2 linked regions of the Oryctolagus cuniculus genome follow. The main gene of each other region encodes a partner of the protein of the gene in region 2 in a complex. Links are inferred from orthologs where the notes say so. Each region holds a gene or a part of one and is shown on either strand. Other genes may lie near its edges.

What was found. The genes of interacting proteins can lie anywhere in the genome.
Region 1: the proteins of FBLIM1 (region 2) and FLNC are in contact, whole or in part, in an NMR structure (PDB 2K9U), measured with the Homo sapiens proteins. The link is inferred for Oryctolagus cuniculus from reciprocal best matches to the Homo sapiens genes FBLIM1 and FLNC. Residues at the interface, in NP_001337080.1 of Homo sapiens: Arg8, Val9, Ala10, Ser11, Ser12, Val13, Phe14, Ile15, Thr16, Leu17, Pro19; in NP_001449.3 of Homo sapiens: Thr2339, Ala2344, Gly2345, Gly2346, Leu2347, Ser2348, Ile2349, Ala2350, Val2351, Glu2352, Gly2353, Pro2354, Ser2355, Lys2356, Ile2359, Phe2361, Asp2380, Glu2382, Phe2387.

What each region holds. Positions count from the first base shown.
Region 1 is NC_091434.1:165,025,246-165,030,426, reverse strand, and holds the start of FLNC (filamin-C), read right to left. Parts: upstream 3,133-5,181; 5' UTR 2,876-3,132; coding exon 2,521-2,875; intron 1-2,520.
Region 2 is NC_091438.1:153,864,955-153,869,393, forward strand, and holds part of FBLIM1 (filamin-binding LIM protein 1), read right to left. Parts: intron 1,866-4,439; 5' UTR 1,769-1,865; intron 1,538-1,768; 5' UTR 1,527-1,537; coding exon 1,331-1,526; intron 1-1,330. UniProt on the Homo sapiens protein: Serves as an anchoring site for cell-ECM adhesion proteins and filamin-containing actin filaments. Is implicated in cell shape modulation (spreading) and motility.

The DNA.
Region 1 (5,181 bases), on a different chromosome or scaffold from region 2:
ACACGCACACACACACACACAGGTCCACGGCACTTTCACACGAGCTGTGACCTGGGGCCCGCCCCTGACAGCCTCCCCAGCTGAGGCTCACGCACCCAGAAGGGCTTCTCGGAACCCTGGGAGGGAGCCCGTGAGGCTGCCGGGGTCGGTGGTTCGGGGGTGTCATTCATATTTGCTGGAGACAGGGCTCGCTCCCCAGCAACTGGCCCAGGGCCAGACAGCAAGTGGTCCTGGCTTTGGGGCAGCAGACTGGCCGGCAGGCCAGGGCCCAGAGCTCCACTCTGGGAGCAGTGACCTTCCTCCTCCTCCTCCTCCTTCCCTTCAGAGGCCAGGCAGGCGAGAGGAGCTCAACCCCAGCTTCTTCCCTGGTGATAAACCTCAAGCCACCATTTCTCCGCTGGCCTGGGGATACCCCCAAAGGAGTGGGAGGGGCCGGAGAGCCAGCCCCAGAGGCCACCCCAGGCTTCAAGTAGAGGGGAGGAGGCTGGGCTGAGGGAGGTGCTGGGACAGCTGCTGCCCCCTCCGGCCCCTCCCTCGGCTGTTGGCTCCAGGAGGAGGAATAGCAACTGCGGAACAGCTGCGGGACAGAGCTGCTGCTAGGCCTCTTTGTTCGGAGGGGCTGAGGGGGCAGAGGGGGCCTGCACAGGGCTTGGGGGGAAAGAAGGGCACGCGGCTCTTTTAACCCAGTCCTACAGGTGGACCTCGCAGTTTCCAGCTGCTCCCTCGCCTGACTGCCCTTCCCAGGCCAAGAGAAGGGGGGGGGTCTTTTTGACCCCCTCCCAGGTGTCCAGAGGCTTGATATCAGTCCTGAGACAAGGCAGGGGGTAGGGGGAGGCAGCCCCTTCCCACCACTCATTGGGGCAGGGGGAGTTACAGGCCGCCACACACCCCTCCTGTGGGCAGTTGGCCACTGCCCCTCCCTGCAGCCTGGCCCGGGCCAGCGCCAGCGGCTGAACTGCTGACAGCTTATCTCACCAGGGAGCCAGCCACTTGGCCCAAATGGGGCCGGCTCCCCTTCCTCTCCCTGGAGGAGCCCAGGGAGCCTCCCTCCCACCCCCAAAGCAGCACTGGCTTCTTCCCCCTCATCTCCGGGCTGGCCCCTCTACTGCTGAGCCAAGGGGGCTGGAGGCTCCGCCGTGGGGGAGGGGAGAGGTGCAGGGGGGTGGGGGGGGGTAGGATGAGGCCCAGAGAGGGGCTGCAGCCCCCGCAGTCGGCAGGGAGGGAAGGCGGAGCAGTTTGCTAAAACGCTTGGCTTGGAGGAGGCCTCTGGCTGTCCCCCAGAGACCCCACCTGGGATCCTCAGTCCAGCCTTTGGATGCTAGCGTGCAGGGGGTGCCTGCCCCTCCTGTCGCTGCCCTCAGCCCCACCCCCACCCCTGCCCTCGGGCTTGTCCTTCGGGAAAGCTCAGAGACATCTGCTGTGTCACGGAGACAGGGCTATTTCCAGGCCAGTGCAGGCGGCTGGGGGGGGGGCAGTATTGGGACAGGACGAGGTAAGGCCTAGGGAGGGGACTGGACACAAGGCGAAAGGCCCCGAGCTGACCTCAGCTGCTAATTCCGGAGGCCCAGAGATGGCCCTGCTGGGAGAGTGGGGGTGGCCAGACGCCCACTTCTCTGGAGAAATCTTTGGGGCAGCCTGTGGGGGGGGGCCACCTGGCCCCACGTGAAACTCCCCTCCTGGAGCCCTGGGCTGTGCCCTTTGCTGTCAATCACAGCAGGGCTCTTAAGAGAGGGTCACAGGAGCAGGGCCTGCCCAGCCCATGCCGGGCCGAGGAGACGGGCGGCCGCTGGCCACTCAGAACCCACGCCGGGCTGTGGGGCTTCCCGGCCTAGAGCGTCTCCCCACCCCCACCCCCACCCCCACCGACACACCTTCCAAATCTGGTTACACTCAGTGACTTCCTCCCTTCCACGGGCCCTCCCCTCCGCCCGGCAGCCGACCGCCAGGGCAGCCAATCCCTGGCTTCGGGGTGGGCTGGACGGGCAGGAGCCCCCTCCCCGGCAGGCTGCAGTCCGGGGAGGGCAGGCAGGGGTTAAGGCTCCCAGCCCTCGCTCCAGGCCTTTTTAGGTTTCTGAGGCCGGAGCCCAGCCGCTGAGCACCGAGCGCTGAGCCCTGGCGTGCGGGGGGCCTCCCGCGGCTCTCCCAGACGTGGTGGGGACCTGTCCCGAGCCAGCTCCTCCCGTGCGGAGGACCTGGCAAACTAGGAAGCCATTTGCTTTGTTGAGGAGGGACGCCCCCAGGGCTCAGCCCCGGGCCCCGGCCCCATGCTCTCTCCTGCGTGGGCGGGGCTGCCCCCAGGGAAGGGAAGCGGGCAAGGGTGCGCATGGGGCGCTTGCGAGCTGTGCACTCAGCTGAGGTGAGGTCTGGACCCCCAGGGACACCCCGAGAGCGCTGTGGAGGCAGTGCCCGCCGGTCGGGGCCGCCCCCAGCTGCCCCCCAGTGCCCTGTCCCGGCGGCCAGCACCCGCGTCCCCGGCCCCCGGGACAGCCCCTCCCCCTGCGCCTGTGCCCCCGCACTGACCGATGGACACGAGCTTGATGTGCTCGCGCTCCAGGAACTCGAGGGCCACGGACACATTCTCCAGCTTCATCTGGCGGAAATTGGGGCGCGGGTGGAACTTGCGGTACATGCGCTTCTGGCTGAGCACCTCCAGCAGCGCGATGAGCCGCAGCCCGTCGCTGAGGTCGCGCTGCAGGTCGGTCAGCCGCTTGCCCACGCACTTGAGGTGCTCGTTGCACCAGCGCGTGAACGTGTTCTGCTGGATCTTTTTCCACGGCGCGTCCTCCGCCAGGTCCTTCTCAGTGGACGGCATCTCGTCCGCCTCGTCGCCCAGGCCGAAGCCGGCGGGATCCGCGTAACTGCTGTTGTTCATCATGCTGGCTGGCTGGGGTGCGCTGTCGGGGCGCTGTCGGGCGCTAAGCTCCTCTCCAAGTTCTCGGCGGGCCTCCTCGGCTGCTCGGGGCCGCTCTCTCTAGCTCTCTCCCTCCGGGGGCGGAGCGGTGCTGGGGAAGTGCGGGCCGGGCCGGGCCGGGGGGTTTAAGAAGCCCGCGGCCCCCGCTCCACGTCAGAGCGCCGGCCTCCCAGGAATGCCGCCCGGGCCGCGGTGGGGGCCGCGCGCGCCCCGCGGCCCCGCCCCCGCGCGCCCCTCCCCCGCGCGCCGCCCCTCGGCCCGGGCCGCGCGGGCGGACTGACAGACGGGCGGGCGGGGGCGGGGCGACAGCGCCCCACCCGCGCGCGACGCCCCCCGGGGCCGCACCGTAGGTCGGGCCTGAAAGGCCCCCGCGGGGACTGAAGAGGTACGAGGGGAAACTGAGGCCAGGGGTGAGGGCTGAGCGCACTGATGTGATGGCGTTGACAGAATTTTCTGGACCCGTTGGTGGCAGGGCTGTTGACAGGGCCTGGGAGTCCTGGCTGCTGGCCCGGGGTATTGTCCACCTGTGGACTGGGAAGGGAAGTGTGGGTGCTTGTGCAGAGCTGGCCTGAGAGGAAGCAGAGCTGCAGGCTTGGGGGCGTGCCTCCCCCTGCCCGCCACCCCCGTGGCTCCAGTTAACTAGTAGAAAAGCAGTTTTTGGAGCCCAAACCCAGGGTCCTGGGGGAGGATCCAGGTTCTGCCCCTGACTCAGTGTCCCTGTCACCAGCCCGTTTGGACTTATGGCCTCAGAGTGAAGCCCAGCTCCGGGAAAGACACCCAGTGAGTCACACCGAGTGTGCCCCCTCTCCCCCAAGTCTGACTCAACCGAGGTGAGGAGAAAGGAGGGGGGCACGGCCCCTGTGGTGCCAGGGAGCCCCCTGGGCCACGTGCAGGTCCTCCCAGGGAAAGGGTGGGCTGCCCAGACAGGCCGAAGCTGGGAGAGCCCCAGGAACTGTGACTGGGTGGGCGGAGCCAGGGCCCAAGCCCGGTCAGGGACAGCCCCAGGGAGGCCGGCCCTGTGCCCAGGCAGGACTGGGCTCAGCCAAGGGCTGTGGGAGGCTTGGCCAATGGCCCCAGTAGGGAAACTGAGGCACACAGCCAGAGGAGCTGCCTGGGATGAGGAGAAAGAGCTATGGAATCTACTATTATAAAGGGCACGTGTATTGTACAGCTGGGTAGCGTACATGTCCCGACGCGGGCCTTGCCACCTCACCCTCCGAGCCTTCTAGACTCTGCAGGCTTAGCTGGATGGGAGGCCATGCCTCTAGCTGTGTGATAACTGGGGGTTGGGAAGGTCCTGGGCCCTTGGAGATGATCCATTCTACCTTAGGCTTGGTGAGAAGGGAGCGGACAGAGGGCATCTTTGGGGGGACCCTCTCCCAAGGGCAGAATGAGGACGGTGCTCATCGTGGAGAAGGAACTGGGGAGGGGGCAGCAGTGCTTAGGGCGACAGAGTTGTCTCCTTCTCTTTCCCTTCTTGTGTAATGAGATTGCCTGGCCCTTAGGGAGGGAGGGGGAGGAGGAGAGAAGGGACCAGAAACGGGAAAGGGGCCTGCTGTGCGTGGCTGGGAGGGAGGGGGGCTCTGGGGGCCCTGATAGTGACAGGCGAGGTATAAATAGCTTGGGCCCTGCAGCTCATGTTCTGTCGCTGCCAGTGACGAGGTACTCAGGAATTCTACTCTCCCTCTGGCAACCCCTTGCTCCCAGCTCCAGAACCCTCCTCTTGCTCCCCACCCCCACCCCAGCCATCTCCGTCCCATGGCCAAGATCACCCAAGAGGCACCAGTGTATCCAGCTGGGAGGCTGAGCTCTCCAGTGGAGAGAGGCCCCACCCCTGCCCCTGTGTGTGGAGAGGCAGACTCCTGGCTGGCGGCCCGAGGTGCCGGGGGCTCGGAGTCCAGCAGAGTTGTCTCTGAAGCCCTGATATGGAGACTGAGGTAGGGGTCTGAGCAGGGCTGGATTCTTCTCTGAGCTGCTGGAAGAAGGCAGGGGGGTGGGGAGTGGGGTCCCTCGTAGCTGATGGTCCCTTTACAAGCCCTACTGGCTCCTGGCGCTACCTTGTGGGCATGATCCGAGGCCCCCAGTCTGTCCTTGGCCACTGCTAAGGTGGGAGCATTCGGCGCGAAGCCAGCCAGAGGAGAGCGAAGTCCCAGCTCGCCCGTGGGCCCCAGGGGAGCTAGTGAATGGCCCTGCGGTGTGAGGTGCGAAGTGCCAAGGCATGGTTCCCATCACCCCCCTCGAGAAACCTGAGCCTGCTGCTCTCCAGGATA
Region 2 (4,439 bases):
CATCACACACGGTAATTCCAAGGGCCCAGGAAAGCCTCCGAGGGGCTGCACCTGTTGGCATCTCAGCCACATTTCCTAGCCTCCCTCAGCCTCCGAGATGGGGCCCATTTTTTCCTATCAGATCACTCATCCTGGCATCCTGGCCGGCCCGGTCCTGTTCCCCTCCAGAAGTGCTGGAGGGCCGGGGCCCTTGAGGTGGGAGGTGAGGAAGGAAAGATGGGCCCAGAGCTTCTGTCCCTCGAGTCCCCTCTGCGCTTGCTGGCCCTCGCTCTGGGCCTGGCCGGCATTTCCTGTTGGATCCAGGTGGCTTCCGCGGTGACAGACAGACAGGAGGACTGTTCCAGCCTTACTCTGGGACGGAAGGACATCTGTCCAGGTGCCCGGGGACACTGGGGCTCAGCTGCCTTCCTGGGGTCAGCCTCACACCGAGGCAGAGCCGTGCCTTGCCCCAGGGCTCAGGCCCGCCAAGCCAACAGCTGAGACTTCCCAGGGAGTGACAGGGAAGGAGGGCTCTGTGACCAAGGCCACAGGGCCAGCCCACCCCAGACCCCAGGGACACGGGTCTCAGCTGGAATGTCACCTCCTCAGGGAAGCCACCCTGCCTACCCCATAAAAAGTCACTCCTCTCTACCACGTTTCACCCCGATAGCACCTGTGTCTGCTGATGTCATGTATCAGATGTTCACAGTTCTCTTCCCTCTCTTTTCATTTTATTTGAAAGGCAGAAAGACAGACCAGTGGAGAGAGATTTGGCCACCCATTGGTTCACTCCCCAAATGCCTGCAACAGCTTGGCCTGAGTCAGCCTGAAGCCAGGAACCCAGAGCTCCAGCCTGGTCTCCCACATGGGCGGCAGGGACCCAGGTACTTGGCCTGTCATCGGCTGTCTCCCAGGGTGCGCATCAGCAGGAAGCTGGTGGGAAGCAGAGCAGCTGGGGCTTGAACCAAACGCTGGATCTGAGACGCAGGGGTCCCGACTGGCCGTGCCAAATGCCCACACTGCCTCTGTATTAACCCTGCTCCCTCCACACGGGCGCAAAGCCTTGTCTCCCTTCTCCACTCCCGGGACAGCGAGAACAGCTGGAGCACAGCTGGCACTCCCCGCACGACAGGCGCGGGCCACTCACACACACACTCGCTCCCAGCCACGCTCTGACAGATCGGGACACGGAGGCGCAGGAGGTTCAACGGCTGCGAATGCGGGAGCTGGAAGGCACACCGGGCGGGTGGTTCTGGGGTCTGTCTGGCACTCAGATGAATGAATGAATGACTGAAAGAGTGAGTGACTCCCGGGGCTGCCCTTCCCTCCCCGCCTCCCGCCTGCCTCTTACCTCCGTTGGAGAGCTGAGCGGGGCTGAAGGGGCTGGGCCTCCCAGCGGGGGCCTTCCCAGGGGTCTCCCAGGGGCGGCCACGCCGGGCCTCACAAGCCGCCTGCCTCACTTCCTCGGCCACGGCCACGTGGCGGCGTGGGGGTGCCAGGGTGATAAAGATGGAGGAGGCGACCCTCTTCTCGGGCTTTGAGGCCATGGCTTCAGGTCCTGGCAGGGCGAGGACAGAGTGCAAGGTCCCGGTGGTGCAGGCTTGCTCTCCCCCAGGATGCAAAAGGAAACAGCCCCGCCCTGCACACCTCCCCAAGGCAAGACAGAACAGCCCCGCCCCGCCCACATGCCGGAGGGGGTGGGCGAGGCCCTGTGGGGGAGGGCAGGGGCCCACCAGGTGACCCTGCCACAGGCTGCTGACTGCCCCTCCCCCAGCCCTGGCGGGCTCACCTCGGATGAGTAAGCTTCCTGCCTGGATCAGTCACCTCCCAGGAAGGGATCCGGATTCTCTCGGGGGAAGAAGTCCCTGAGGCTCAGGCCAGCTCTGCTGCGGGAGGGAGAGGACAGGACGGTGAGCACGTCATGCCCACACCCCCTCTGTGCCCACACCGCCCTCCTGCCGTGAGAGGTGGGCACCTGCTACTCCCATCCCACCAAGGGGAACCTGGGAGACCTCAGGGGTAAAGCCACTTGTCCAAGGGCTCACAGTGGCAGAGCCGGGATTAGAACTCAGGGCCTGGGCCCCCGGCGCCATCTGGCTCTGTTCTGCCCTCTCGGCCCACCCGGCAGGCCAGCATCCATTTCTCTGCCTCTCCAAAAGCGAGGTGTGCTTCAGGCCCGGGCAGTGTTGGGGAGAGCCCAGGAGGGGGCTCAGCGGTCTCCAATCTCACCTCCTGACCTTGATCTTTCTGGAGCATAAGTCTGTTTTTCCACTGCTCAAAAGCCTTCCATGGCTCCCACCTCCTCAGGAGAAAGTCCTAATTCTCCCTCTTTGGGTCCACCCTGGATCACTCATCCACCCTCCACGGCTTCCCTTCTGACCTGCTCCTCCCACCTGGTCTCCCTCCGCTGCCACCCACAGGGTGAAATTCTGCTCGAGCGAGCATCACCTCCTCCAGGAAGCCTTCCCTGATTCCTGGCCCTCTCCCTGAGGCCCTGTCTGCTTCCACAGGGAGGTGACAGCCCCGTCACAGGACTAGCTGGCTCGCAATCACCCATCCGACCCCCTGCAGATACTCGACTGCACCCTGAGTGTGGCTGGGGGTAGCCATCCAGGTATAGATATGGGGACAGGTGCCGGGTGGAAGCCGTTTTCCATCTCTAAGGCCACTCGGCAGACAACGTGTGTGTCCACGGGGCGGGGGGGGGGGGGGGCAGGGCACAGGCATCCTCCCTGGGCACGAGGCTAAAAATTGCCCCTTATCTCTCCCTCTCTGCTGTTGTGCTGCCCGGGCCACCTCGCCAGGACTGTCAGGCCCAGGCCACAAGCATACGAGGCAGAGGGCAGACAAGGAGACAGCCATCGGACCCCCAGAAATGGGGCTGGCTGGGTTGAGCTGGGCTGGGGGCCCCCGGAGAGACCCAGTGGTGCCCTGGGAGCTGGGGTGACCGTGCACAGGGTGCACAGAGTCCCCTCCCCATCTCCAAGTGCACCGGCCACCGCGGGCTCCCTCTAGGACTGCCGGAGACAAATCACACGCACTCGGAATCCCTCCTCAACTGGCTGCTACACTGAGTTAAAACGCTCAGCCTCCTGGTTAGAAACCGGTGCGTGGGGAGGCAGCCTCCCTGGCCGCCACCCGCCACTCGGTGAGCAGTTCAAAAGCCCACTTTCACGAGTGACGTTCAGGGTGTGTGCGAGAATTGAAGAGATAAACCGCATGGCGGGCACCCGCCGAGATGGCTGCGGGCCAGGCACTGAGCCCAAGGCTGTGTGGGCCCCAGGGCTCCCCCATCCTGGCCTCAGCCCACGATGGCCCCCCTCACAAACGCTGCGTGAGCCTCCCCCTACCCCCAGAGTAGAGACCCCGCCCCCCCCGCCCGGCCCCGCCCCGCCCGGGGCAGACACAGAACTCTCGGGGAGCGTCCCCAGCCGGCAGGTCCAGGGCTGTCCTCACACCTGAGGCAGCCGGGACCGCGCCCCCAGAAGCTGCAAACCTCAGGACGCCCCCACCCCCGGCCCCTCCCCAGCCTGCCCTGACCCCTGCCTCACTCCTCCGGGAAGCTGGATCTATCCAGTTTTTCGGAAACGTCCAGGGCTGACACCAGATGGCCACAGCTGGGCAGCCTCCGCCCCCAATCCTCCCAGCAGGGACCTCAGGCCCCAGGGGAAGGGGCTGGGTGGGGATTTCACAGGGAATCAGAGTCCAGCCCTGCTGGGGTGCCCGGCTCCCCTTGCCCCGGGGCAGCCGCCATGCCCCGCCCCGGGGACCCTCTGCCCCCCTCCCTTGGAGGGCAAATCCCAGATGCAGTCGGGTAAGCGGAGAAAGTGGGAACAAAGGGAGGGAGACTCACTTCCTGTCGAGAGGAAGGAAGAGGCTGGGACCCAGCCCGCACCGGAGCACCAGGCGGCCAGCTGCAGCCCGCACCCAGGGCCGGGGGTGTCTGACCAGGAAGGGGGAGGTGCTCCCACCCCACTGTCCCCTCCTTCCCCATTCCTTGGCCCCCCTCTAGAAGAGCCCCGGCACCTCTAAGTTCTGCACTTTAATACCTTGACAAAGCAGTCTGTCTGCAATTAAACCCCCCTGGAGGTGAGCGGCTGGGGGCTGCACCCCAACCCACGCCCTCCCACAGAGACCTGGCTGCCTTGGGGTGGGGGTTCCCCCCAACTCCCTCCTACCCCAGGGAAGCCGAGGAGGCACAGAGCAACCTTCACCCGGGAACCCACCTCTTTCCTGCTGGGCGGCCAGAGCAGGGCACCTACCCTCTCTGGGCCCGGATTCCTGCACAAAGTGCCAGGGGGTGGCTGGTGTGGGAAGGGGAGTGCAGGACAGCTGGTTATGTAGCCCTCACCCCGAGAGGGACAGCAGGCGCCCCTGGGGGCCAGGACTGGGCTCCCAAAGTGACTGGGAGCAGGGAGCGGGAATCCGGGGGCTGCCCCAGCCTCTCACAGGGGCCCTCC